Macaca mulatta: one gene and its partners. The protein of the gene in region 2 binds, or shares a complex with, the protein of the main gene of each other region. Links are inferred from orthologs where the notes say so. Each region holds a gene or a part of one and is shown on either strand. Other genes may lie near its edges. The genes, in order: WNK3, KLHL3 and CUL3.

The links.
Region 1: the proteins of KLHL3 (region 2) and WNK3 are in contact, whole or in part, in a crystal structure (PDB 5NKP), measured with the Homo sapiens proteins. The link is inferred for Macaca mulatta from reciprocal best matches to the Homo sapiens genes KLHL3 and WNK3. Residues at the interface, in NP_059111.2 of Homo sapiens: Lys312, Arg339, Phe355, Gly357, Arg360, Thr386, Phe402, Gly404, Ser405, Gly407, Ser432, Ser433, Tyr449, Gly451, Arg454, Cys456, Ser481, His498, Arg528, Tyr577; in NP_065973.2 of Homo sapiens: Glu537, Cys538, Glu539, Glu540, Thr541, Glu542, Val543, Asp544, Gln545, His546.
Region 3: the proteins of KLHL3 (region 2) and CUL3 are in contact, whole or in part, in a crystal structure (PDB 4HXI), measured with the Homo sapiens proteins. The link is inferred for Macaca mulatta from reciprocal best matches to the Homo sapiens genes KLHL3 and CUL3. Residues at the interface, in NP_059111.2 of Homo sapiens: Pro73, Tyr74, Ala77, Met78, Asp82, Met83, Ser84, Glu85, Glu92, Ile93, Lys94, Asp95, Pro125, Ser128, Leu129, Gln131, Met133, Arg136, Asp160, Val161, His162, Thr163, Thr165; in NP_003581.1 of Homo sapiens: Ile44, Asn49, Ser50, Gly51, Leu52, Ser53, Phe54, Glu55, Leu57, Tyr58, Arg59, Tyr62, Thr63, Leu66, Lys68, Met118, Asp121, Ile122, Met124, Tyr125, Arg128, Val129, Gln133.

The regions. Positions count from the first base shown.
Region 1 is NC_133426.1:54,063,659-54,074,012, forward strand, and holds part of WNK3 (serine/threonine-protein kinase WNK3), read right to left. Parts: intron 8,250-10,354; coding exon 8,018-8,249; intron 7,625-8,017; coding exon 7,494-7,624; intron 6,703-7,493; coding exon 6,092-6,702; intron 2,211-6,091; coding exon 1,999-2,210; intron 1-1,998.
Region 2 is NC_133411.1:146,483,589-146,493,942, forward strand, and holds part of KLHL3 (kelch-like protein 3), read right to left. Parts: intron 9,576-10,354; coding exon 9,458-9,575; intron 8,771-9,457; coding exon 8,573-8,770; intron 7,042-8,572; coding exon 6,940-7,041; intron 3,835-6,939; coding exon 3,706-3,834; intron 1-3,705. UniProt on the Homo sapiens protein: Substrate-specific adapter of a BCR (BTB-CUL3-RBX1) E3 ubiquitin ligase complex that acts as a regulator of ion transport in the distal nephron.
Region 3 is NC_133417.1:129,720,643-129,729,897, forward strand, and holds the end of CUL3 (cullin-3), read right to left. Parts: intron 7,471-9,255; coding exon 7,325-7,470; intron 3,554-7,324; coding exon 3,422-3,553; 3' UTR 2,768-3,421; downstream 1-2,767. UniProt on the Homo sapiens protein: Core component of multiple cullin-RING-based BCR (BTB-CUL3-RBX1) E3 ubiquitin-protein ligase complexes which mediate the ubiquitination and subsequent proteasomal degradation of target proteins.

The DNA of each region.
Region 1 (10,354 bases), on a different chromosome or scaffold from region 2:
AAAGAATGCTTTGGGATCACGAGTAACCAATGTTATCTAACAACCAGTTTTGGGAAAGCAGAAATTATGCATAAAATGAAGCCATTTGGGAATGCAACAGAATAAAATAAAGTATAGCTATTAGTGATACTGTATCAGACTGAAGGTTCATGTACTTCTGCTATTAAATCCCCAGAGGTGCCTTCAATCTAAGTCTACCCTTTAATTCTGTCTTTACAAGATCATCCAAGTACAGTTCCTGTTCTTGGGTTCTGTATTAGTTGTCTATTGTTGTTGTAACTAATTGCCAAAAACTTAGTGGCTTCAAACAACACAAATTGATTGATCTTATAGTTCTCTAGGTTACAAGCCTAACACGGTCCTCACTGGCCTAAAATCAAGGTGTTGCCAGGGCTGTGTTCCTTCTGAAGGCTAAAGCAGAGGTCTGTTCCCTGGCCTTTCCAGCTTCCAGAAGTTGCCTCCATTCCTTGGTCTGTGGCACTCTTCCTCCATCTTCAAAGCCAGCAATGTTGCACCTTTCTGACACTGTTTCCCTTTTCTCTGACTCTTCTGTGTTTCTTCTCTTCTACTTTTAAAGATCCTAGTGATTACACTGGACCTACCTGGATAATCCAGGATAATCTCCCTATCTTAGAGTCAGCAGATTAGCAACTTTAATCCCACCTGCAAGCTTAATTCTCGAGACTTTGCCATATATCCTACCATGGTCACAAGTTTCAGGGATTTGCACATGGACGTTTTGTGGGGGAATTATTTTGCCTACGACAAGTTCTGCTGGGATTTCACTTATGTCCTTACAATACATCCTTAACCCCCACCTTGACTATGCACATATAACCAAAGAGGCCTGACCTGATTAACAACTTCTTTATTAGTTAAGTAGAGACTGATGCTCTTACTTTTCAAAGTCAAAGAAGTATATTTTACTAATATTCTTATAACTAATAAATGAAGATCTCTTCAGATAAGAGCATGAGTGTAGATACATGTATACATTTCTTTTTTTGACACGGAGTTTCATTCTTGTTGCACAGGCTAGAGTGCAATGGCATGATCTCGGCTCACTGCAACCTCTATCTCCCAGGTTCAAGCGATTCTCCTGTCTCAGCCTCCCAAGTAGCTGGGATTATAGGAACAAGCCACCACGCCCAGCTAATTTTGTATTTTTAGTAGAGATGGGGTTTCACCATGTTGGTCAGGCTAGTCTCGAACTCCTGACCTCAGGTGATCCACTTGCCTGAGCCTCCCAAAGTGCTGGGATTACAGTCCCAAAGTGCTGGGATTACAGGTGTGAGCCACCGCGCCTGGCCAGAGAAAATATATATATATATGTATTTTAGATGGGGTTTCGCACTTGTCACCCAGGCTGGAGTGCAATGGCGCAATCTCGGCTCACTGCAACCTCCGCTTCCTGGGTTCAAGCAATTCTCCCGCTTCAGCCTCCTGAGTAGTTGGGATTACAGGCGCCTGCCACCACACCCAGCTAATTTTTGTATTTTAGGTAGAGATGGGGTTTCGCCATGTTAGCTAGGCTGGTCTTGAACTCCTGACCTCAGGCGATAGGCCCACCTCAGCCTCCCAAAGTGTGAGGATTACAGGCGTGCGCCACTGTGCCCGGCCAAGTGTATTTTTAAGATTATCTTGTTACCAACAAACTCTCCAACAAACTCTAAATGCTAGACCAGAAGTTCCCACTGACTGATAACATTTCAAAAATTACTGTGGGGATTGGCATTGGGCTTCCAGCTGCTGGTTTTCCAAATAAAAGCATGAAGCACACTCAGCTTCTCTCTACAGTCTATCAATTATCCTAATCATTATTACATAAAAGGACATTTAACACCAAAAACAGAAAATAATCTCAGAATAATGTGTACTTCTTTAAATTATTTTAGCCTAATTAAAAATAAATTGTATTATAATCATTTTTCTCATTTTGCTAATCTTGGATTTTTAAAATCTTAGATTTTTAAAAAATTACTTTTATGACCGATTTACCTGTAGCAACTATGCCATTGTCCACATGTGTCAAGGACTGGGGGCGGCTTCGAAGTTTGCTTTTGAAAGATCTTGGTCGACGTGGTGATGCAGGTGGCAAAGGAATCTCAGTAGATTGGGTTTTGCTATCTTTAATTGACCGAAGGCGTTCATAGAGCTCCTGCAGCTCCTTATTCTGCTGGGTTTGAAGATTTACCACCTCCTGAATGTGTCTGAATGAAAATCATGCAAAAAGCATTTTAATGGCACTGGCTCCATAAAGATGAGCCAAGAAACTCTACACCAGTATAAGTAAAGTTTAACAAGGAATTTAGATTAAGAATGGGGAAATAGAGACTGGGCACAATGGCTTACGTCCATAATCCCAGCACTTTGGGGAGCCAAGGCAGGAGTATTGTTTGAGGCTAGAAATTCGAGACAAGCCTGGGTAACGTAGGGAGAGCCTATCTCTCTTAAAAAAAAAATTAAAAAAAAATTAGCTGGGCATGGTGGTGCATGCCTGTAGTCCCAGTTACTCAAAAGGCTGAGGTGGGAGGATCACTTGAGCCCAGGAATTCAAGGCTGCAGTGAGCCAAGATCACACCACTGCACTCCAGACTGGGTGACAGAGACCCTGTCAAAGAGGAAGGAAGGAAGGGAGGGAGGGAGGAAAGAATGGGGGAAACACAGAGTATTTTCACAATTTCCAGAGGGGAAGCGGGAAATGCCTTCCTAAGCATAACATTAAACTATAAGAATCACTCATGAAGAAAAAGATGAACAAATTTCTAAAACTGAAATACAGTGAAAGTCAGTAAAACAAAATGTAAAGTCAAATAGTATTAATAATATTAACATTTTTGCCAGACGCAGTGGCTCACGCCTGTGGGAGGCTAAGGCAGGAGGATCGCTTGAGCCCAGGAGTTTGATACCAGCCTAGACAACATAGTGAGACCCTATCTCTCTGGAAAAAAAAAAAAAAAAAAAAAAATCAGCCAGGTATGGTGGCATGTGCCTGTAGTACAAGCATCTTGGGATGCTGAGGCAGGTAGATCTCTTGAGCCAAAGGTAGAGGCTTCAGTGAGCCATGACAGCACCACTGCACTCCAGCCTGGGCGAAAGAGCAAGACCTCGTCTTAATAATAATAATTGTAATAGTAATAAAAGAAAGAATAAATAAAAATCGGTGAAGAAACCATAATGCTAAAAGAACACTGAAGGCAGAATAAATTATTTTTTAAGATCCCTTCTAGGCCAGGCGTGGTGTCTCATGCCTGTAATCCCAGCACTCTGGGAGGCTGAGACAGGAGGATGGCCTGAGGCTAGAAGTCTGAGACCAGCCTGGGCAACACAGGGAGACCTCATCTCTACAAAAAAATTTAAATATTAGCTGGATGTGTTACATGTCTGTAGGCCCAGACACTTGGGAGGCTGAGGTGGGAGGATGGTTTGAGCCCAGGAGGTAGAGGCTGCAATGATCCGCAACTGCACCACTGCACTCCAGCCTGGACAACACAGTAAGACTCTGTCTCAAAATAAAAGATCCTTTCCAGGTGTTGTGTTATATGAGGTTATGAGAATTCATGTCTCACATTCAAAATTAAGCACATATTCACAACCAGCCAGTTACAAAAAACTAGCCAGCTACAAAAGCTACCAGTCATTTGACAATGGTTTAAAAGAACCATTAAAAACAGCAATAGAAGGCCGGGCACAATGGCTCATGCCTGTAATCCCAGCACTTTGGGAGGCCGAGGCAGGCGGGTCACGAGACCAGGAGATTAAGACCATCCTGGCTAACACGGTGAAACCCCATCTCTACTAAAAATACAAAAAATTAGCTGGGCATGGTGGCGGGCGCCTGTAGTCCCAGCTACTCAGGAGGCTGAGGCAGGAGAATGGCATGAACCCAGGAGGCAGAGCTTGCAGTGAGCTGAGATCGCGCCACTGCACTCCAGCCAGGGCGACAGAGCAAAACTCCGTCTCAAAAAAACAAAAAAAACAAAAAACAAACAGAAAAACAAACAAAAAACCAGCAATAGAATACTTACATCACAAATATGAAACTGCTTTAATAACTTTTATTATAAAAAGTATCAGTGTACATATACTGTATAGTACTTAATATATAAGTTGACATATACATAATGTAATGTCAAGCCTGTATATATATTTTAAAGTGGAATATCAGCCTTCTGGTGATGAATATTTAAAGTATATATTCACAATTTTCTTGCAAGCTCAAGTCAAAAACACTGAAACAAGTTAGAGAGAATATATTATAATTATCTATCACTGGAATGACAGTTTTGGGTTTTTTTCCTCCTCGAGGCAAGGCCTTAGAAACTAAGAAATTTCCAAGGATTTTAACCTGCTTTAATTCTTGAAGCACTCAAACACAGCATCCAAATGGAGCATTATTCAAGCTTGTAAGAACTTGACTAAAATCCAGCTTTTTATTTTATTTTTTGAGATGGAGTCTCGCTCTGTCACCCAGGCTAGAGTGCAGTGGTGTGATCTCAGCTCACTGCAACCTCCGCCTCCAAGATTCAAGTAGTTCTCCCTGCCTCAGCCTCCTGAGTCGCTGGGATTACAGGCGCCACCACGTCTGGCTAATTTTTGTATTTTTAGTAGAGACGGGGTTTTGCCATGTTGGCTAGGCTGGTCTCAAACTCCTGACCTCAGGTGATCCACCCACGTCGGCCTCCTAAAGTGCTGGGATTACAGACATGAGCCACTGCGCCCAGCCAAATCCAGCTTTTTACATGCCTATATTTTTAGTCCTCCCTGGTTCTCTCTGCTTTACAAATTAAGTTCCATAACAGTGCAGGAATTCTCTAAAGCATAAGATACATTAAAAAATTGCTAGAGTTGGTTTCAACTTTTCAAAGTAATGGCATGGGGTCATCAATAGGAGGCTAGTAATTAACTTATGAGTATATGCATATACTGGAATACTTTGAAACAGTCAAAAATATAATGATACAGGTATATATCCAAGATACCATGAAATGGTAAAGAAAACCAAGATATAAGAACAGTCTTGCAGTGTAAGTTACTATTTGGGGGAACAAAGAATGAAATATGCATATTTGTTTGTACGGTTATAGACTAACTGGATATACAAGAAACAGGTAATATTTATTGTGTGTAAGGAGAGAACCTGGGTAGTTCAGCTGCAGTGCTAGGAGGGAGACTACTGGTTACCCTTTTGTACCTTTTGAATTTTGAACCATGTGGATAGAATTAGAATTCAGCAACTTAATATGAATTTCTTTTTTTTCTTTCTTTTTTTTTTTTTTAGACAAAGTCTTGCTCTGTTACCCAGGCTGGAGTGCAGTGGCGCACAATCTGGGCTCACTGCAACCTCCACCTCCCAGGCTCAAGCAATTCTCCTGCCTCAGCCTCCCAAGTAGCTGGGAGTACAGGCATCTGCTACTATGCCTGGCTAATTTTTGTATGGTTTTTTTTTTTTTTTAAGTAGAGACAAGGTTTCAAAATGTTGGCCAGGCCAGTCTCGAACTCCTGACCTCAGGTGATCCACCTGCCTCTGCCTCCTAAAGTGCTGAGATTACAGGCATGAGCCACCATGCCCAGCTGGCTTGAATTTCTTTTTTTAAAATGACCTATTTTATAAAACTAAATACAAAACAGCATTCTATTGACAAAATATATTATCATAATCTCACTAGTGAAGGTTGATTACCTCAGTCACCAAATAATAAGCTTGATCTTGAAAGTATCTTACCTTTTCCTAAAGAAGATGAACCACTATCTCTGATTATAATAAATCAGCTGTTTACTTATCAAATGTGAAATTATATAAGAATAGTTGTAAAATCTAAAACCAAAAGTCCTTAAGAATAAGGACTGTAAAGGTTAACAAAAGGAGTAATTAAATCATATTGGTAAATAAGCAACTGTAATAGTCTTGAGACTATGAAAACATTTTATATATAAGAACTTTTTCTCATTCATAAATGTTTAGCATTAGCATTCTTTGTAGTTTTCAATCATTAAAATGTCAACAATCCTAAATTAGTTACCAATCAAATACTAAGTTCTATAAAATCCAGGGCAACCAGATTTGTGACAAAAGAGAAACAGTCCTTACTTTTCTCGTAATCTTTGAAGCTCCACCTTCAAGTCCTCATCCTCTATTTCTGATTCATCATCACTGCTCATTGGGGAAGATGGTGAATAGAAGAGTGAACTCTGTGTTTGAGCATAAGCTTGTTCTTCATGGTGTGGTAAGCACTGATCACTCTCTGGACCAGTCTTTGCCACTGACTTTCCACTGCCAGCAAGACTGGCTGAAAATTCACTATCAGAGCTAGGCTGTTTCCCAGCAGTCAATATCTCTCTCTCTTTAAGCAACAGTTCAGATCCAGACTGCATGCTACTTCCTGTGGCTGAAGTTTCTTCCAATTCCTTTTCTGGGGTCACTGAAGATACATCAGTCTCACAAGCTGCACTGAAAGATAAGAAGTTGTCACCTTGTTTGGGAACTCCTTTATTTTCTTTACAGGTTTCCTGAAGAGCTTGTAACTTCTCAGAAGAAAACGAAGTTTTGGGATTTTGTGTGGCAGGTTCTATTTCTACCAACTGAGACTTTGCTGCTTCAATAAAGGCTTCTTCACTAGAATGGTTTGTCTCACTGAACACTGATATGTGTTCTATTCCAAAAGATGTCACTTTTGCTGACTGCTGAGGAATTGTAATCACCTGAGATATAAAAATGTAAAAGTGGTTAGCATAGCACAGACAAGTAGATGGTCTGCTGTGATGTATATGTATTGATACTAGCAAAACTTAAAAATTTAATCTATACCCTCAAATTCACTCTTTCAAACAGGCCCCTTGGGTAAAGAGAGTGGGCATCATATTGCTCAAATAAAATTCCACAATTAGAGTTGCTGAGATTCTAAAAGACGTGAAATTACATTTATAAAAGAGGACCCACCCACCTGCCAAAAAAAAACTATTTCTGTGCTCTCTACCAGCTACTATCCATTTCTGTAGACTCATCTTTACTGATGGCTTCAAAAAGTGAGGGGATGCATGGAAGATGAACAAATTAAATATGACAATGATCTACATTTAAAGTAAGTATCATCAGCCGGGCATGGTGGCTCACGCCTATAATCTCAGTACTTTGGGAGGCCGAGGCGGGTGGATCACCTGAGGTCAGGAGTTCAAGACCAGCCTGGCTAACAAGGTGAAACCCCGTTTCTAATAAAAATACAAAAAATTAGCCAGGCGTGGTGGCGTGCACTTGTAATCCCAGCTACTCGGGAGGCTGAGGCAGTAGAATCGCTTGAACCAAGGAGACGGAGGTTGCAGTGAGCTAAGATCATGCCATTGCACTCCAACTTGGGCAACAAGAGTGAAACTCCATCTCAGTAAACAAAAAAACAAAAAACAAAAATGGAAGTATCATCTACAGACCAAGATCTCCAGTGGCTGTTATGTTTTATAATGCCCTTGTAGATAAGGATTCAATCAAAGACACAAACCTGGAACCGACCCCGCTGAAATGATCCACTCATCGCTTTACATCTATTCAAAGCCCTAGTATCAGCTGTAGACTCCCGTGTCAGAGGAATGGGATCAGGAGCAATTGCTGATCTCATCTCTTCTGTTTCCACTGCAAGTTTTGCCAAATTGTAAGTAGAAAAGAGAAAATTGTTTGTTAAGACTAAATTTGTTTACATTACCAAAAATGAAGAAAAGTAGAAAAAGCTTAACTCCTGCTAGACAATTAAAAGGTGTTAATGTAATAAGCAACATCGTATAAGTCCCTAAGTCTAAATCAGACATTGCAAGATTTATCCCAAGACTTAGTATCTATATGAAATGAATAACTGGAAAACCAAATTAGTTACAAAAGGAAAAAATAAAACGGCAATGACATTAATGGGACATGTCACATACATGGGCTACGTGGAAAAAGTGGCAAGATTTGTATATGAACAACAAAAAAATAAGTAAATGAAAAGTGATGTTACCTAGTCTATGTCCCTGACTGTAAGCACACTACCTTGACGGACTTTTGATCTCTTGAAAAAGCTGGTTGACTGCCGTAGCCTGTATGCCCAGCTTTTTAATTTGCGAGTCCAGGATTTCTTGCTAATAGGATTTTTGAGACTAGGACAAGTAAAGCTTAGGCCAAAATATCCACCTCCTGTCTGCAGATGAATGGCTCCACCGCTTGACACAGCAGCAGGATAGGCCTCTGGATCCCCTGGAAGTGAAGCATCTGAGGACATCTCCTAATGGAGACAAGACAAAACAAAACAAAACAAAACAAAACAAAACAACCGAGAAAAACCAAAGTGGTAATAATTTAGGTAAGGTGAAGCTTTTTTTAAAAAAAATAACACTGGAATTTCTTGTACAGACTGATCTTTAACCCAAAATAGGGTATTATGTATTAGTTGCATTAATAGTAGCATATTAGACTGAACCCAAGGTACTCCATTTACAAAAATTAAGCCTTCTTGTTTCTTTAAAAATATTATTTAGACTTTAGTAAATAAAAGAGAATATTAATCTTCTACCCCAGAATATTTTTCATCATTATACAAACTTTGAAAACTGAAAATCAAATTAAAATTTCCTTCATATGTGCCAGTTTACTAAAAAGGTTACTAAAACTCCAAGCTATTATCATGAAATTTTTCATTTATGCCTATATTATTTAAGAGACTCAGTTAAAGATGCTTGAAACACACAAACAGAGAAAAACAAGCTATCGAGGCACTTAGATTTACAGAGAAGTATGAGGAAATCAAGTTTATTACTTTATGAAAGCATACGGAAATTTATAAAGGACATCAAAATTACTTCAAAATCATGCTCTAAAAATTCTTGTTAACATCAGGCTATCCTGGCTACAAAATCACTCCCCTCTTCTTGTCCTCCTACTCCCCCACCAAAAAGGGCCCCAGATATAACTGTTGTATCTAAATGAGTGCTTTAAAGATAAATCCTCTATAATAATTAATATGAAAAGTTAGCACAGACAACCACAAATACTTTGGGAAACATGAGAAGGGTTACTACTAATCTAGAAGATTAAAAAAATATATAAAAGCACAAAGAATGGGATTTAGCATTTGCCTGAAGGAAGATAGCCTACTGGCAGGAAGTATGATGTGTTGGGTAAGCATTATTAATACTTAGGGCAGGGCCGGGTGCAGTGGCTTATGCCTGTAATGCCAGCATTTTGGGAGGCTGAGGCAGGCAGATAACCTGAGGTCAGGAGTTCGAGACCAGCCTGGCCAACATGGTAAAACCCCGTCTCTACTAAATATACAAAATTAGGCAGTCGTGGTGGTGCGTGCCTGTAATCCCAGCTACTTGGGAGGCTGAGGCAGGAGAATCGCTAGAACCCAGAGGCAGAGGTTGCAATGAGCCGAGATTGCACCATTGCACTCCAGCCTGGGCAACAAGAACGAAACTCTTGTCTCAAAACAAAAAAAACAAAAAAACAAAAACAAACTTACGGCTGGTCAGGGCATAAATTGTAAGCAATCAGTTTTTATTTTCTGCAGTCTCATTTTAAACTAGTAACAATAAGTTTCATGATGAGAAAAAAATTAGTATTACAATTTAGAAAATGTTACATTGGTCCCACTGAAATTACAGAAAAGAATTTTAATATGTAGTAACCGGATCAAGATGGCAAATTAAATATTTGTTCTAGCCTTCCTTATCAATCCAAATTTACAGACACGACAGGAAAATAGACATAGACACATGCATACATGACTGAGAGAGGAAAAAGCAGACCATGACATATGTAGGAATTGTTTCAAAATGCTGCAAACTTGGGTGGCTGATACGGGCAGCAGGAGAGAACCCTGGCCAACCAAAAAGATGAGTAGTAGGCTAGAATGCTTACAAAACTCTATCAGATCTACCTTCTGTCTCTTTCAACGTTATCTCTTAATGTTCTCCTGTTTGCTGGCCTTCTTTTGGTTCCCTGAACAGTTCTCTATCTATGACTATCACCACCACATACAAGTCCTTCCCTGACTACCATATATAGTTTTAGTATCCCATTTTCTTCTACTAGATGTGAGCTCCACAAAAACAGAGGTTTTGACTTATTCACTGCTAAAGAGATATTCACTGAATGGAAGAATGAACTGATTGGGAATAACAAAGAAGGAACAGGCAGGCAGTTCTGTCCCCACCTCCACACCAAGCAAAGGGCAGCAGAGGCATGTGCCCCCAAATAAGAGTAGTAAGAGGAAAAGGTTTGTGGCCAAGAGAGAGGTCAACAACGTAGGGAGGAGACAACATCCAGGAAGAAAGGTAAGCCCTCCTACCTTTGGAGACTAGCTACTGGGCCACCCTCCAGGCAGCATTA
Region 2 (10,354 bases):
ATGTCCACCCAGCAATAACCATTTCAGCAGCTTGGCAGAGACAAAGCAGCTGTAGTCTCCAAAGGCGGCTCCCTCCACAGAGACAAGCCTGAGCTTCCTAACGCAGGTCTGCCCTGGCGGCTTCACGCCCGGCTGCCTCCCCAGGCTTTCGGCCCTAGGAGCGGTCACGCATCTCAGGGTGTGCTGCCCCAGGCATGCTGAGCTCTCACCCCTTACGTCACAACAGAGGATTTCTAGGGAGTACGAAGAAGACTCTACCAAAACTTTAGAAACCAAAATTTCCGAAAGAGGTTTACGACAGGAAAAGAATCATGGGATTTGTGGATTGACTTGGTTCTTAGGGAACATCTACTACAACCCTACAACCCACTCATTTCACATATAAGGAATTAGAGGCCAGAATAAGGGAAGGGATTTGCCCAAGGAAGGTCATATGGCAAATGAGAGCAGACCCAGCACCAAGTCCCGGGCCTCCTGACTTCCAGGCAATGGCTCCACATTCAGGAAGGGCCAACCTGTCAGAATCAGCAGAGACAAAAATTCCCTAAAAATAGCACTCCAAACACAAACACTTCTTAAATGGCATCATGCAGATTTTATTTTTGAAACCAGTGAGCACACAAAGGCTCTTTAAAAATATTAAAATAGCATACTTTTTAAAGAATGCTGAGGAAGTGGTCATATGTTTGGTACTATAAAATGAGATCACAACTCAATCTCCAAAAATACACAAAAAAAAAGAGAGAGAGAGAGAAAGGAATAACATTGTGGGAATGTGGCTACCCTTCTCAGAAGTCACACAGCCTTCCCGCCAGGATCAGATTGGTAATCAGTCACCACTGACCACAGGAACCAGCAATAAAGAACCAGTGGACTGATGCCTCTGTCTGCCCTCAGACCCTTCCCTTTGGGCCTCTAAGACAATGGATGGGAAGACAAAGCAGGGGAGAAGGGGTTGTTGCTCCGCTTCCTGAAAAATCCCAAAGGACCATAGAGCTTCTGGTTTTCTGACAAGAAGTAGAAGTAGAAACCTTTTGGAAACTCATTTTCTTCCCATGTTGGGGAATGCATTGAAGTGAGGAAAAGTGGGAGCAGGGGACATAAGTTATCTCCAAACATGAACACTAATAGCTTGGCTTTCAATCCCAGACAGGCAAGCTCAGCTTTGTCAACTGAAGACTTGTCCTACTACTTCAGAGGAATAAGACTGATAATTTAGGGATTTAAAAAACTAACTCTGGAGTCAGCATTACTAATTATATGACCTTGGGCAAATTACTCAACCACTGGCAGCCTTCCTTTCTAAATCTGATAAGTGGAATTCATATTGTATCCACATTGTAGGGCTGTAGTGAGGATTAAATGGATTGAGGCATAAAAAGTATTTGTTAGGACAGTGCCTGGCACATAGTAAGCCTTCACTTTCAAAAGATGTAAACACCTTCATAGAAACATAAGCGATGATGAGGAGCGTTATTATCTCATCCATTCTCTAGTGATCTCCCAGGAAAGGTTAACTTATAAGTGCTGTGTCTAGCTGCAAAGGTGCTAGTGGGATTATATACAGCAAAACGAAAGAAGGAGGAGTTAAAATAAAATGTTAGGTTGTTGAACCAATACCCACTTGTGACTGACTAAAGAAATCACAGATTACACAAACAAATGGAAAACATCCCATACTCATGTATTGGAAGAATCAATGTCATTAAAATGACCATATTCCCTGAAGGAATCTACAGATTCAACACAATTCCTACCAAACTATCAACATCATTCTTCATAGAATTAGAATAAACAATCCTAAAGTTTATACAGAACCAAAAAAGAGCCCGAATAGCCAAAGCCAATCTTAACCAAAAAGAACAAAGCCAGAAGTATCACATTACCTGACTTCAAATTATATTACAAGGCTATAGTAACTAAAACAGCATGGTACTGGTACAAAAATAGACACAGAGATCAATGGAACAGAATAGAGAACCCCGAAACAAAGCCACATACTTAAAACAAGCTGATCTTCAAAAAAGTCGACAAAAATAAAACAATAGGGAAAAGACACTCTATTCAATAAATGGTGCTGTATGTGGCTAGTCACATACACAAGAATGAAACTAGACCTCTGTCTCTTACCATATACAAAAATTAACTGAAGATGGATTAAAGACTTAAATGTAAGACCTGAAACTATAAAAGTCCTAGAAGAAAACCTAGGAAAAACTCTTCAGGGCATTGGCCTAGGCAAAGAATTTATGACTAAGATGCCAACAGCAAGTGCAACAAAAACAAAAATAGACAAATGGAATTTAATTAAACAAACAAACAAAAAGGCTTCTGCACAGCATAAGAAATGATCAACAGAGTAAACAGTCAACCTACAGAATGGGAGAAAATATTTGCAAATTATGCCCCCAACAAAGGACTAATGTCCAGAATATACAAGGAACTCCAACAACTCAACAAGGAAAAAACAACCCCATTAATAAGCAGGCAAAGGATATACATACAGACATTTCTCAAAATAAGGCACTCCAGTGGCCAATAATCATATGAAAAACTGCTTAACATCTGATGATTATCATCAGAAAAAGGAAGATTAAAGCCACAATGAGATATCATCTTATACTTGTCAGATGGCTATTATTAAAAAGTCAAAAAAGGCCGGGTGCAGTGGCTCACACCTGCAATCCCAGCACTTTGGGAGGCTGAGGCAGATGGATCACGAGGTCAGGAGATCGAGACCATCCTGGCTAACACAGTGAAACCCCATCTCCACTACAAATACAAAAAATTAGCTGGGCATGGTGGTGGGTGCCTGTAGTCCCTGCTACTCAGGAGGCTGAGGCAGAAGAATGGCGTGAACCCAGGAGGCGGAGTTTGCAGGGAGGCGGATCTTGCAGTGAGCCAAGATGGCGCCACTGCACTCCAGCCTGGGCAACAGAGTGAGACTCTATCTCAAAAAAAAAAAAAAAAAAAAAAGACATTAGCATGGTTGCAGAGAAAAGGGTATGCTTATACACTGTTGTGGAAATATAAATTAATACAACCTCTATGGAAAAACAGTATGGGGATTTCCCAAAGAACTCAAAATATAACTACCATTTGACCCAGCAATCCCACTACTGGGTATCTATGCAAAGAAAAAGAAATCATTATACTAAAAAGACATGTACAGTCGTTACATTTAAAGCAGCACTATTGACAACAGCAAAGTCATATAACCAATCTAAGTATCCATCAATGGCTGATTAAAGAAAATACAGTATGTATACACCATGGAATCTTATGCAGCCAAATAAAGGGTGAAATTATGTCCTTTGCAGCAACATGGATGGAGCTGGAAGCCATAATCCTAAGTGAGATAACCCAGAAACAGAAAATCAAATACCGTATCTTCTCACTTACATGTACAGGCTAAATAATGGGTATACATGGACATAAAGATGAGAACAATAGACACTGGGGATTCCAAAAGGGATGAGGCTGGAAGGAGGGTGAAGGTTGAAAAATTACCCATTAGGTACAATGGTCACTATTTGGGTGATGGGTACACTAGAAGCCCAAACCCGACTGTTATGCAGTATATCCATGTAACAAACCTGCACATGTACCCTCTGAATCTAAAATGAAACAAACAAACAAAAAAAAATGTAAAGACCCACTTGTGAGCAAATCAGACACAGCCAGCATCCCGAGGTTCTCCCATACCTGCGCCACTGCGACGGGTGCTCATGTCCGCCACATATGTCCACTCATTGGTCGCTGGGTTGTACTGCTCCACAGTGCTCAGACACTGGCGGGAAGCTCCATCATAACCCCCAACAGCATATAGCTTCCCTGCAACACACAAAGTGGCTGAGTGTGGTGCCAGGGACACTGGCATGAAACCAGAGCTCAGCTAAAACCCTATCTGCAACCAACTGGGGCACCCTTACCTCAGAATTCTGTTCCCTCTTTCTCCAGGGGACCACCAACTTACTCCTCAACCAAGCAAAGCATCCTTCACATTTCTTCACATATTCTACTTGCTCTTAAGCCATGAGCTCCTTAGAAGCAAACACTGAACATTCTAAATAAGCACCCCCAAATACCCAGCCCAAAGCTATGGCCTGGCACCACTGGGACTCAACATAATCTTGCTGGTGAATTAGGTTAAATTTTCTCTAGAACAAGACACCAGCACTGGATAGATGGAAAGCTAGAAGGCCCCCAGCTATACGCAGGCAGACCACCTTTCTGGCTCAAGGCTTGAAATAGCAGATGAAATAAATATGGAAAAATCTTCTTCAATGAGAACCCAAAACCTGTCTTAGCCATTGTCTCTACCCCTTCCACAACCCTGGCAGGTACAGTGTGTGAATGGAGTGTTCTTTGTACATCATGGGCCAGGGTGGCTGGAATTTTTCTGCAGACTACCCTGTGATCTCTGAGCCATACACAAGAGCCCTGAGGTGCCGTCATCTACTTTTAAATTAAAATACCATTAAGCTGCTACCCAAGAGTATCATTTCCGCCTGGGGCTGAGAGCTGACAGTGAGGCTGGACGCAGGAGGAAACATTTGGCATTTGAGCTATCCCAAAGCAGAAATTCAAACATTTTGGGTTTAAAATTTAGTCTTAAAATGCAATGGGATGGTCTCTTCTGTGGGAACAGAGGGAGGAGTCACACTAGTTGCAGACTAAATAAACATCGCCAAATGCAAATCCATTTAACAGGATTACTTGGTAGATTTTTTGGTCATATGTGCTTTCTTGATGGATAGACACCAAGAATACTACTAGTATTTGAAAATCCGCAATTATTTTAAGTTAGAAAGATTCTCAGGCTCAAACCTATACTCTGCTACCAGAACTACTGCTGTATTATCAAATGTAAAAATGTTTTTCTTCTATCATCATCGAGCCTGGCTTTATTTTCTGCCCCAGGGTCCTCTCAATTGACCCATCTAGAAGAAACAAACACACCCTCCCCTCAGTTCTGCACGCACCGGAGTGAAAATTTTTTAAAAACCTGACTAAGCAGCCCTTCTATGGTCCAGGCTACTTGTACAGTGTGTGCTGCTTCAGATGCGACAATCTCCATAGCACACTCTCCATTCTCTTGGGGAGCCTCTGCCTGTACTCTGATCCACACAGTCTTTTCCTAAATAGCTATTCTTCGAGGCAGCCAGTAGCAAATTATTGCGATTTCCTCCATTTTTTTTTTTCAGTGTCATTCAAACTGTATAGCCATGGTAATGAGATGATGAGAGGGAGGAGAGGAAGCCAGACACTGCAGAGAGCTGTCTCTTCAAGGCCACAGTGAAGCAGAGTCCACTTAAGTTCCTCCCTCAACATTCTCACCACAGCTGTAAATTGGACTCTGCTGCCCCAGGGTGCCCACAGCCGAAAGAGCTTCAGATTCAGGAGGGGCAGAAGAAACAAATTCCCAGCCTGTCTTCCATGTCAACAGGGCGTGCTACAAGACAGCACTTCTTCCACATACAGAACATGCTCACAAAAGCTTTTGTCAAGGGGAGTATTTTAAATTACCACCATTATGGCACCTCCTCTAACCCCCATCAACCATTCCATCTGCATCAGCTGAAAAAATACACACTCAAGGTTCCTCCTTCAGTCTATTAACAGGGATTTGCTATTTTTAACCCCTACTCTATTGTTTGATATTCCTGGCTAAGGAACAAGAGAAGAAATGAGAAGGTGGCTAGACAAAGCACTTATACTTGGCAGACAAATCAATTTCTGTTCCACCAAGAGAATGAGATTGCAAGACACAATTCACCTTGGAAGGAGGACAAAATCCTTGCCCTCACAAAGATGACTTATTTAGTATGTTAGAATAGTATACCTTTAAACGAAAACTTAAATTACACAATACCAGTGCAGACTGAGAAATACAGTGCGAGAAAAGAATATTTCTATGAATGTCTAACTCGCTGAATGTTACGCTGTCCCCAGGACACATTTGTGTTTGCATGTGTATTCTTGAGTATGTACATGAGAGATGGAATGTCTGCACACATGTCTGAATGAACAGATATTCCATCTAAATTCTCACACTCGCACAGGTTGATGAATCAGTGTTGTCCTGCAAATAACATTTTAGTTCAAGTAATAGTCTATGCTTTGGTACACTGAATTCACACATATTTACAGAACTCCTACCTACTGGCATTTGTCAGCATTCTGAAGGGGCATAGCACAGTGGAAAGAGTACCGGCTTAGGAGTCAGAAGACCTGGGTTCAAGGACAGGCTGTGCTATTTACTGTCATTAGAATGTGGGGCATCTGGAGGATGGAGAAAATCTGAGTCCTGCCTATCTCTTTCACAAGGGTTTTGCAAACAAAACGAGAGACTAGACGTGAGAGTTTTGTTTTTTTTTTTTTTTTAACAAACGAATGTGTACCATCTGACCAGGCCCGAGACTTCACCACGCCCTCCTGCCTTACCCTACACAGCTTTCCTGACTAGAGCTGGACTCGATCACCAGCCTGCCCTGCAGAGACAGTCATCAGACCTAAGAAGGCGTGCCTACCTCACCCACAGTTCTGTTAATGTTCAACATATGAATATGAGGACAAAATTCATTAAACACATTTAATTCTCCCTCCACTACATTATCCTCCTGGGTCACATGCTGACTATAGATTCCCTACTCCCTTCCCCTCCCCAACCTCCAGCAGAGCTATTGACAAGGGGCCAAACCACAGGCCGGCATTTCCCCTCTGGGCTCCTTCTACTCCCCCAGCCCAGCTCCACCACGGGCCAGGAGCTCCACCACCTCTCTGAGTCTCGTCTGCTGAATCAGGATAATAGTACCTAACTCAGAGGAGTGATCTCAGGAATAAACCAAGGTAGAGGAAGCACCAAGCAGGATGCTGGACCCAGGACAAGGCCTGTGGGCCGGATAGGCCTGGCCACCGGCCACTGCACCTCCTTACCCTCCACAACGCCCACACCCACACTGCTCCGCCGCGTGTTCATCGGGGCCACAAAGAACCACTCGTTGGTCTTGTAGCTGTAGGCTTCCACCGATGCTAGGCCTGGGAGACAAGAGACTCATGAGACTTCCATGGCACCAGGCCTCACCCTGCTGTGTAAGAAGCAGTGAGGATGGGGGAGGAGTCCAAATGCAGGGGCTGGAAACCTAAATGTATGGCTCGGTGCCACCTCTGAATCACCATGTGGCCTGTGGCGACTCCCTCAAACACATCTGCAGTGTCTACCTGCGGGGACTATTAAGACTTGACCCAGAGAGTGGGCTGTGAAAGGACAGGGGGTGTGTCTGAAATGCATGGCAAACGTAGATCATAAAAACTGCAGAGTGAGATACTTTGATTCCAAGTAGTCACTTGAGGTAGCCTCACTGAACACCTATTCCAATCCCCTTTCCCCCAGCTTCGTCTATCTTAGCAGTGGAAAGCTAAACACTTGCTTTCCAAGACTCCCTCGCAGCTAGGGGTGACCAAGTCAATGAGACCTAAGCAGAAGTCTATGGGGATTTTAGAAACGGCCTTTGCTTTTCTGATATAGATACCATTCTCCCCTGGAACACAAATGTGTTGGCTGGAGGTATAACAGCCATCTCATGATCATGAGAAAAAGGCCAAGAAAATCTAATCTTAAAGAATGGGGTCTCAATGTCCATGAGCCACTGGACCAACTCAGCCACTGCTAACCTCTAGGCTTCTTGTTTCATGAGTAAAGCAAAATCCCTCATGTTTTAAGGCACAGTTTAATCAGGTTCTCTACTTATAGCCAAAAGTAATTTCCAAAAGAAACAATGCACCACTACCCTTTCGTTCTCTGCCCCACTCACTAAAGTCAGCCTCCAGAGGGGCTAAAGCCCTGGAATTATATGAGTGAGGCAAAGAGAAGGCTGAGAAAAATCCCCAAATTGTGAAGACACAAATAAAAATTCAGAGAAGTAAAAAAACACTGCTTTTCCCCTCCCTGGGGGCCAAAGGATATCATATTAGTTTAACAGAGCTACTGTTTACTGAGACACCTACCTGGCAACATGAGCAGAGATGAGATCACCTCTCTGAGTTTATGTCAACTAATGGTTTCGGGTTGAAATTTTGAAGCTAGATAGAGTCCAGAGGCAAGAAGGCTCACCTATGGTGAAAAAGCCTGGCAAAGCTTCAAGTGGAGTAGTAGAAAGGGCAACAGAAAAAATGGGCAGCCTGGCCCACTGCGTGACCTGAGCCAGGTTTCTTTCAAGTGCTGAACTCAGCTCCCAGAGGATTCAAACTGGAGGCCTGAGGCACCCCCCAGCTAAGCATGCTCTCCTTCTAAGTCTCATCTTCTGAGTAAATAGGTTCCCAGACACTGAAAAGTAGGAAAGGGACTCTTCTGAGTCCTAGAAAGCCTAGTACATGGGCAGTTACATATTCTGTGTGCAAGAAGGCCTGGCTCTTCCCCTGAAAGCTGGATGAGGCAGAAGGGTGGTATCTCCCTGGGGCAGTAGCTACAAATGGACAGAAAGTTGGTCCAGAACTGGCTGAATAAAACAGGGTTTCATGGAGGGTGTGTCCCAGGCTAGGAGGGGTTGGGAACACACCCTGAACCTACCAGTACTGCCATCAAAGCCTCCCACCGCGTAGAGCAAGTCATTGAGCACCGCTGCGCCCAGCGTGCTCCGGCGCTCCTGCATGCTGGCAATGGATGTCCACTGGTCCTTCACGCCGTCATACACATCCACTGTCCGCACCCGCAGTGAGCCATTAAACCCTCCCACGGCATACACGTGGCCAGCCATGAACACCACACCTGAGGCACAGGAAACCGAGACATCAAGGTCAGGTCAGGCGCATGACTGCTCAAGTTGATGGATGACAATGGAGGAGCAAGACAGACACAGGAAAAGTCACCACCGAAGATACTTTAGATATTTGGCAGTCATGGGATTCACTGGATTTCTTTCCTACTTGCTTTTCTAATTTTGTCTGACTCAAGTAAATACTTGAATCAGCTTTAACTCCCCAAGCTCATAAGAACTGACCCCAAAAGAGCCAAAAACTGTGCAAGTGGCCGGGCGTGGTGGCTCATGCCTGTAATCCCAGTACTTTGGGAAGCCAAGGTGGGTGGATCACCTGAGGTCAGGAGTTCAAGACCAGCCTGGCCAACATGGTGAAACCCGTCTCTATTAAAAATGCAAATATTTGCCAAGCATGGTGGTGTGTGCCTGTAATCCCAGCTACTTGGAAGGCTGAAGTGAGAGAATCACTTGAAGCCAGGAGGCGGCGGTTGCAGTAAGCCAAGATCATGACGCTGCACTCCAACCTGGGTGACAGAGCAAGACTGTCTTAAAACAAAAAAAAAAACTGTGCAGGAGGGAAAAGAAAGGGAGCCTGAAATGCACAGATGCTTGAGGAAACAAGGAGTAGCTCACGACTTCTGGCACAGAGTGGGGACCAGCAGGGGAAAAACAGCTTGCAGAACTGGGAGGCTGCTCACCTGCTCTGCATCTTCTGGAGGGAAGCTCAGCAATCTGATCCCACCGGTCCTCCTCGAAATCATAGCACTCCACACTGCGGATTGCCTTGGGTGCCTGGCCGCCAACCACAATCATGACCTCCAGAGAGACAAGTGGACATTAGCGGGGTCTCCCCAAAATCTGGATTTATGGTATCCCTGGTACTTCCACATGGCTTATCACTCAGGGTCTGTGGATGATCCGAGATGCCAGTTTACAGAGCTACATACATGGAGATGCTGCCCCTAGTCACCAACAGGTATGAGTATTCAAGAAAAGTCTAACAAGCATCTTCCCACAGAAACACAATCATAAGTTCTATTTCCCAAATGCCCCACTAGGGGCTATCTTGTGGGTGTGTGAAGCCACGTAGGGCATCATCTGTAATCTCAGTGTCCTCAAGATTGGGAATGGGAGGTGCTAAATCTTATATCAAAACAAACTTGAATATACTTTGAAAAAGAGTGCAGAATTTGGATGCATTTTTTAAAGTATTATTCAAAAGTATTTCTGAATGCCTAGAATGTAGGGTGCACTTATGCACTGCAGTATAGAAAAAACTTGTGAAAAACTCCTGTGAGGTGGTTATTACAAAAGTTATTAAACTGATGATGTTCTGAAAACTAGTGCTAGCAGTCCTATTTCCACAAGTAAGGTAGTAGCCGCCATTGCCAGGCACTATGTGAAATGTGTTGTCATTTACTCGTCACCACAGCTGTGAGGTAATCATCATCATCCACATTGACAGATAGGAAAGTAAAGCTCAGAGAACACATTAAGTGGCCCAAGGTCACACAGCTAGGAGTGTAGGCAGAGACTGAAATCCAAGTCTATCTGACAGAGGGTGAGGCCAGCCACCCCCGCAACTCCTGCTCTAG
Region 3 (9,255 bases), on a different chromosome or scaffold from region 2:
ATGCTTCATGTATTAGTTTGTCACATTACTATTCATGAGAACGAGGTACAAAATAAATGGAAAATTTTTAATATGGAAAATCGTGTCAATTTGTAACATGGAATATGGATAGGATTAAACCTAGGTCTAACTCGTGGCTCTGCCATTTCCTACTAGCAATGCTGGACAACACTGGTATAATGACGGTTCTCTCACATAAAGCCAATATGACAACTAAATGAATGTACATAAAATATTCAGAATAGTATCTGGCATATGATAAGCACTTAAATGTTACTAACATTTCTAATTATTTCTGCTTTGAGGACTAGAAATGACTTCTAATTTTGCTGACCTGCAATGTTTTAACATTTGCATTTATAGAATGCAAAATACTATGCAACATATAGTAAAATACATGACCTACAATCGATATGTAACAGCTTTCCTTCCAAGATTGACACAATATACCACATACTTTATAAAAAATTATGCTATAAAAGTCATGTCTTAAGTTACAGTAGACAAAGATAAAAATCCTTTATTATGGAAAATGAGTTAAACTGTAAACATTAATACTGCTTTCCAAACTGAGGAATTAAATAATTTAGAAGCCTAAGATGATGCTAGTGTACTAGTCTTCTAGAGATGTAGCCATCTTAAAATCAGTTCTAAGCCTTTCCTGCTACCCAACATACCCAGTGAACAACACATCAACAGTGCTTCACTATGAGAAGGATTCTTACTGAGAAGCTATATCATCATCATCTTGGGGGTTTGATAGCACATAATTACAATGCTACACAGGTGACTTAACATATCCTTTAGAAAGGCATGCATCCCTTCCACCATTCCCTTTTAAACCTTGCATCACAACCACTTTTTTGTGAGGTTGTGCATTCTCTAATTGCAATGAATTTTCAGTCTTTAAATAATGTAACGATTGAAAATAAACACTGTCCTGGACTTGATAATGAAGGCAGAGAATTACACTTTAACAATTACTGAAGAGATGACATCATTTTTGCAGTTGAAAAACTATGTACCCATCCTCCTCAGAACTCTTTTAATAAATCACCAAAATTTCTCCGTATCAACAGGACAGAATGGTTAGGATGCATTTTTCTTTCAAATTAAAGCATTAAAAACTGAGAAAAAAAATAGCATCTGTGACCTCTTGCTAAAAAGAAAGCAGTGTTAAAGTGTATTTTGTTATAACCTTTATGACCTAAAATAATACTTATGAAGTCAAACATATAAACGTTTTGTGTGACCAATTTTTTCAGTGCAGCATCACATCGTCAGCATTCTCCAACCATTCAACTCAACTGCAATTCAGAAATGTTTTAATATATTTAGAAGCATAAACATCAAACCTGTGCTCCGAAATTAACAAGTATGTCTCTAAACTCTAGATCTGATTTTTACAGCCACACTTGAGACAATGATGTAAACTTAAACTTTGCTTTTAATGGCTTAAACTAGCACTAAAATGTTTAATGTCTCTGGAGATTTCAAATGTAGTTTTTTCATCATTCATGTTTACTAACTCGACAATCTGAGCTGTCCTGTTTTCCCAGGTGTTAAGTATCATTTAATTGGGAAATGAAAGCAGTAATAAAATTCTCAAACCTGAAATATCACATTACTTTCCTATAAACACCTTCCCATTATAGAAAATTTCCAATTATGTCAAAATCAGAAGGTGAAACCCTTAGCTTTCCATGTTACACCTGACCTAGTACTGTTCAAGTGTGGTACAAGTGTCCCGAGAACAATGTTCACAATCTTTTTCATTGGCATCTTCATTGCATCATGTAGAAGTGGAAAATGCAGAGATAAAGAGCACAAGGCTTATAATTCTACAGTACAGATGGAGACAAAACTGCAATAAAAACATATTTGCAAGTCTAAAAGGAAAATTATAACCCAAGACGCATGGGGAAAAATATTTATGTGGAGTTTTTAATCCGTATTAGAATTCAGTTGTTTTAACTTGACCATAAATTTAAACAGAAACCATCTTCTGAGACATACATTCTAATAAATGTATCAACAGTACTGATAGTCAACGAAGGGTCAATTTAAACTTATTAGTAACATTTCATTTTTCTATCCAACAGAAATCTATAGTGGTTTGCCCCATTACATATCTGAAACATTGTCTTATGAAAACAAAATGAAAATTAAATAAAATTGAAGATAAAAATACTCTGGAAGCACAGGATATCTGACAAGAATCTTCAGCACAAAGCACATCTTTGAAAACGTGAAACGATGACTCTTTGGAGGACAATAGCTAAATATCCAAGAATCATCAGGTTTGAGAAATATTGCTTAATCACTTTCCAAAACACAGTTAGCTGCAAGAATTGAAGATTTCATTAAAACTATCAAGGTCATCATATTTATTGCATCTTTAGATTGCATTTTGAAACAGAAAATTAATAGTGCACCACAGCTTCACCAAAATATATATTTAGGGGCAGGGAGGATCTAAGATATTTATAAACAAAGTATAGACTGTATGTGCTTTTCAGAGGGGCTGAATTAAATATAACCAGCTGCCAACTTTGTGCTCTGACATACTTGAATTAGTGGGTTTGTGTATACTAAATTCATTTATTTTTGTCTACAATAAATGAAATAAAAACACCACCCTATACAATCCACTATTAGCAGTGAGTACAACAGCAAAAAAATTATTGTACAATTTATACATACTAAAATATTTTCTTTCTCTAGAAATAACTCAGAACAAAACCTAATCATTGTAAGACTTAATCTGGGGAATCTCAAATTACAATAGGGAAAAACCAAATCAGGATGTGTACTTGAGCCCAAAACAAAGGTTCCTGGTCATAAGGCTAGAAGATTAGTAAGTGCAAGTGGTAGAATACAGCATGCTCAAATTGTATGCTTGGGTCTTTGTATATTTATCAAACCTTTAAATTAAGTAAGACTAGCTAAAGAAATGTCTTCAGAGCAAGATAACTGGGAATTCTGCATTTCTTTTGCCATTTTTGTTACCCAACTTACACAATGCGCAAAGTGCTAAGCAACACTACAAAAACACATTTACATCAACACTGAAGACCTGGGGAAATGAAATCCAACAATTTTATTTTAATGAGCTGTATTTTCTAAATTTTTGTTTTATTTTCCTGTTTTCATACAGTAAAGAAAACAAAACGCAGCACATTCACATTTTCCCGAGGAACTGTAAAGATGATCTCTACAGGGATAAACGTTGTAAAGCCTGAAGCTCAATCAACTGTTGTTGAAAACTCTCAAAGGGAGTAAAGGCTTGATCTCAATGGTCTAGAACATGTACTGTAATTTAATAGAAGAGATGGTCGTCTTAATATTTAATGATTTAAAAGAACTTCCCAGTCCATGCGAAGAGTACAGTCCAAGAATAAATCAAATTTCTGAACGCATTTTATGCTACATATGTGTATACTTTGCGATCCTCAGGTGTTCGTGCCAAATATTCTCTCTCAATAAGTCCTTCAATACGTTTCTTAATAACAACTGGACTTGGTAAGAATCGAGCCTTCAACTGCTGAGTTACCTAAAAAAGAAAGTAGACAGCATTTTTATATAAACACATAGAAATTCCTATCTTTCAACAGAACTGATATGTCATTTTAACACTGAGAGATTGAACTTTACTAACTGGATTAACAAAGCTAAAAGCACAGAAACTTTAAAAAGGTTCTGTCTGAAAATGTAATGTATGGTTACAACACACTTCCTCAAATCAGAGTGTGAATGCTAAGGACAGCAGTTGAATAGATGAATTAGTTGGAATTATGTTAGTGTGAGTATATGTCACCTATAGTTTAACCTTTTGATGCTGTTATCTACTGACTTCTGGGTTACACTCAAAACTTACAGAACTTGGGTAGCCTATGTATTTAAGAACACAAACTCTGGACTCACAGTACCTGGATAAACTCAGCTCCACCACTACTAGCTCTGGGACCTTGGCCCACTGGCGTGTACACTCAATGTGTTAACAGACATAATGCCTTAGAATAATAATGCCCAATCAAAAGTGCTTCTGTTGTTCCAAGTACTATCAGATTCTAAGTACTGTGCTACATATAATAATAAAACAGTAACTAAAGTAGCAGTCACAGTCTGTCTATGCATCAGTCATTTTGCATGTATGAGTTTATGGTTTGGTTTTTTTTTTTGAGACGGAGTCTTGCTCTGTCGCCCAGGCTGGTGCAGTGGCGTGATCTCCGCTCACTGCAAGCTCCGCCTCCCGGGTTCCCACCATTCTCCTGCCTCAGCCTCCCGAGTAGCTGGGACTACAGGCGCCCACCACCACGCCCGGCTAATTTTTTGTATTTTTAGTAGAGACAGGGTTTCACCGTGTTTGCTAGGATGGTCTTGATCTTCTGACCTCGTGATCTGCCTGCCTCTGCCTCCCAAAGTGTTGGGATTACAGGCGTGAGCCACCATGCCCGGCCTATTTAATTAATGTTCTTAACCCTGCAAAGTTGTCTCATTTTACAAATGAGGAAAATATGCCAGAGAAGAAAACTGACATCAACAAGTAGTAAATAACAGAGCCAGCAGAGATGAATCTAAACCTTTCTGACTTCAAAGTCCATGTTCTTTGCTCAAATCCATCCGTGAGCCAGCTTTGCTTCTACTCTTGTTGATCAGCTCATTTCCCAAAGCCATAATGGATTGATAATTCTTTGAAATCTGAAAATTCAGCACTTCACTCTGCAACTACAATCTATCATCCTTCCAGGATTACCACTCCAGTATCTACAAACTTGCTCTCAACCCACCACCTGAGACCTCCCACCCTTTGCCCTTCTTTTCTTCCAGCCTATTAACAGCTCCTATAGACTTGCTCTCTCCCCTGTAACAGAGCCTAAACTGCATTCAAGATCACTTCAGCTGCACTCTCAACAGGACCTTCTACTCCTGATTCTTTTGGTTCTATCTCATAAACACTATTTGATTAAACCTATATTCTATATATATCATTATCAACCTACCACAGAGCTCTTTGCTGAGTAAAGATGTAGTTGTTACACCACTTGTGTACACCAGGAATCAGTAAACTGCAGTCACAGGCCAAATACACCCCACTATCTGTTTCTGTAAAATTTTACTGAAACACAGTCATATGTATTTATTTTTATTAATTTTTTTTGAGATGGAGTCTCGCTGTCGCCCAGGCTGGAGTACAATGGCACAATCTCGGCTCACTGCAACCTCTGCCTCCCGGGTTCAAGCAATTCTCCTACCTCAGTCTCCCGAGTAGTTGCAATTACAGGCACCCACCACCACGCCCGGCTGATTTTTGTATTTTTAGTAGAGACGGGATTTCGCCATGTTGGTCAGGCTGGTCTTGAACCCCTGACCTCAGGTGATCTGCCTGCCTCGGCCTCCCAAAGTGCTGGGATTGCAGGCATGAGCCACTGTGAGTCACATGCATTTATGTATTATCTATGCTACAATTGGCCATTTACAAAAACATCTGCCAATCTCTGGTGTAGACTGGTAACACAAATTTATAGTATTCAAAAGTTCAGCAAGTTCCTGAGCACCATTCTTTGACAAGTATTATTTCAAATTTTTGACAATCCCCTTAAACTCCTCAACCCAGTCCTGCACCAAGCTCATATCAGGTTTTACATAGAGAAAATAAGCCATTTCAATTTGAAGTTCTTCAAATTCCCACCCTACACATGTACATTCATCCATACTTACACTAAACCTTGCTTAGCACATACCCCTGCACCCTGCCCTGGGTTCTCAGGAAGAGGCATGTTCAGTAACATCTGTGTCAGTACACTACCATCATCATACTCCCTATACAATCCTCACGTTTCCTTTTCTAGAATGTGGTATTGATCCCTTCATCTCATTTCTTTCCATTTGTTTTTAAGGATCCCTTCCTTATTCTTAGGATATAAACATCCTCAGTATCCTCCCATTGTGGGGGGAAAAAAGCCCAAACCCTTCAACTCTACACTGAATCCTCTAATACTGCTCTCTCTGCCCTTTCCCTTGAGCCAATACTTCAAAGAATAAGCCACTCTTGGTAGTTTCCACCTCCATTTCCCTCTCAAGGAACTACCACTGGATATACACTTTCACGAGTCCAATGAAAATGTCTGAGAAAGTTAACCTGTCACATAATTGCTAAAGTAAGTGTTTATTCAACTTGGTTTTTCCATGATTTTTGATATTACTGACCACTCACTCCTTGTAATTCTCTTCCCTTGTGCTAGGGCACTGACATTTTGTTTTCTTTTCCTCCTGAAGCAGTGTTCTCAAATTTGAAAAAACATCAGAATCACCTACAGTTCGTGTTAAAAAACCAGACTGTTGGGCCCTATCCCCAGAGTTTCTGATTCAATTCTCAGGCTCTGGTGGAATCTAAGAATCTGTGTTTCTCATGAGTTCCCAGGTGATGCTGAGGTAGCTGCTCCAAGAACCACAGTGTGAAAACCAGTGCTCTAAAGAGTTTCTGTTAGTTGTTACACTCACCGTTCCTAAAATGATGAGGGAGGGGTCTATCCCATAGTTCTTTCTTGCTCTATATGCCAACACTGAGCAATTTAATCCACACCTGTGGTTTTAACTGCATTCTCATATAGCTAATTCCCAATGCAACTTCTAGCCCTCGTGTCTATTGTCTTCCACCTGCCCCTGGATGTGCCAATATACAATAAAGTCAACTTGTACAAAACAATATTAAGTGACATCTGGACCACAGCGGCACATTACATTACCCTTGTCTTTTTGGTTACAGAAACCAATCTCTATCTACTCATTCAAGCCAGAAACCTAAAAGGTGTCTTCAACTTCTCCCTCTCACTTCCTGTTATCAATCAGTAAGCCTGTCAATTCTACTTCCCAATTATCTTGATTCAGCTTTCTACCCTCTACCAACACTTTACCCAGGTCCTAATCCTCTCCCACCTACCTTAATGGCCTCTTAAGGGGTCTTCCCCTCCTTAGTTCCCCAATTTGTAAAATGAAAGCATTTAATGAACGGTAACCATTAGTAATTTTTAGAAATAAAGGGAATTTGTTTACACAAAGGTATTAAATAGCAGTGAAAATTTTTTCTTAATACTTCATGTGACAATATTCTACTATTATTTTTGTTATAAACACATTAGTTCTGGGAGTGTGCACATATTTGGATGTATCATTATGTTTAATTACCAAGTGAGTACCATACATTTCATAAGTGTTACATCACTAGAATTTCTTAATTGTAAAATTGTTTTTAAAATTAGTTGAATACAGTAATTTTGTTAATTTTTTTTTCTATATTAGCCCAGTCGTGAAGAGTCCTCACCTCTGCTACTAGAACATTGTGCTGCATCTTCTTTCTAGATTTCATTATCCGCACTATAGCAGCTTCTATCTCATGTTTTCTGTCGTCGTCTACTTTCTGCCTTGTTTCTTTCCTCTCTGGGTCTGATTCACCTTGTTTGGCAGCAACTAAAATAGAAATAAAGACATTGATCATAAATATAATTTTAAAATTTGGTTTATAAGCAAGCTTAATATAATTCAATGTAATCCACAGACAAAAACCAATTTCAGCCTCTGAATATACACACTTAAGTATACATTCAAAAAGTGTCTCATTTAATGTTTACTTGAATACTAAATTATCCTTTTCAAAAATGAGGAATTTAACTTTGAGATAATAAAGTCAATTTTGTTTTTATGCAGAATATAATTTCTTATCTGGAAGAAAAATAGTAGCTGAAAATATTCAGTAGTAAAATTACCAGTAAATAATTTTCATTGCTTATGACTGTCAGAGGTCAACTGATTATTTTATTACCATGGTTCCAAGTTAAAACTCACCAAAAGTATCTCAGATAGGTGAGTATCTGTTGTCTTACTAACTCAAAATGTAGCTGTAATCTCTAAGGTTTTATGCGGAGACAAGAGTATGTATTGCCAAGATTCAGTGAAATAAATAATTTAAAAGTACCACTAGGATGTCAGTTCCTAAAATCTCCTTGCCAAAAATCTCCCTAGAGTTCTGTTACCTAACCATTTCTTGCCGTATATTTTATTATGCTTTTTTATGTCACGACCTCATCACAAATTCATACCAGATTCCAATCTTTAGAAGTCTTACTCTATTCTTCCCTATAGTCTTCAAAGAAACTGCTAAGGGATTAAATACAGAAGTCTTCTTCTTCTGCAACTCTGCTCCAAATGAAACAGCAGAAAAAGAAAACTGATGTTTTATTTGTTCATCAAAAGGAGATAGATGTGAAGTTTCTGGAAGGAGAAATTGTAAAATTGCAAAGCAGCACATGGGGCATTGCTGACTGAGGCACAGGCATGGATAGCCATGAGACAGCAGACTGTACAATTTAGAAGATCATTCTGGTGTGCATATCCATTCAGCTGTTTCTAATTAGAATCCTTTGGATAAAAATACTGCTTTCAGTGTCATTTCCCCAGTGTAAGATAATCATTATCTTAGTAAAAAAAAAAAAAAAAAAAAGAAAAATCGAAGAAAATAATCTACTAAGAATGATGCTTATGATGCTTCTCCTCAGAAGTTGACGTCATGAAAAAAAAAAAAGATAAGAGGTACTGGTTTAAATGGAACTAAAAAGACATAAAAATTAAATGTAATATGGAAATCTTGAGGGAATCATGAATCCAAAAAGTGAGATATAAAAGAAATTTTTGAGACAACTGAGGCAATATGGGTGTAAACAGATGACATGTAATTAATTTTCTTGGATATGATATAGGAGGTGTGTGCTAACGTTTTTTAGGGGGAAACTGTTGAGATATTTGTAAATTAACTTCAAACGCTGTAGCAAACACACACACGGGTTCGTATACACACAGAGGAAGGCATGGAAGAAGACAAAATTCTAATGACTGGTAAACGTAGGTCACAGCCATACTGATGTCCATTATGGTGCTTTTCACTTTGTGGATTTGAAAATAAAAAATACAAAGTTGCAGGGAAAAAAGTAATTGTTTAAACAATCCCTTTGGCTCATCTGGATTTGGTCACCTAAATAAGCGTCATCTTAAATACCTGCAGAAAAACATAGATGTCAGATTGTGCTAATGATTCAAAATGAGTATTTTTTTTTTAAAATGTGAGGGGAGGGACTCACTCTGGAGCCTAACACAATACTCCTCACTTGAGTGCAGCAGAAGGGGTTGCTGTGCATGTGCCTATACATGACCTATATGCATGCTGGGGGATGGAATTTGAGCAAGGCAGGTGGTGAAGAC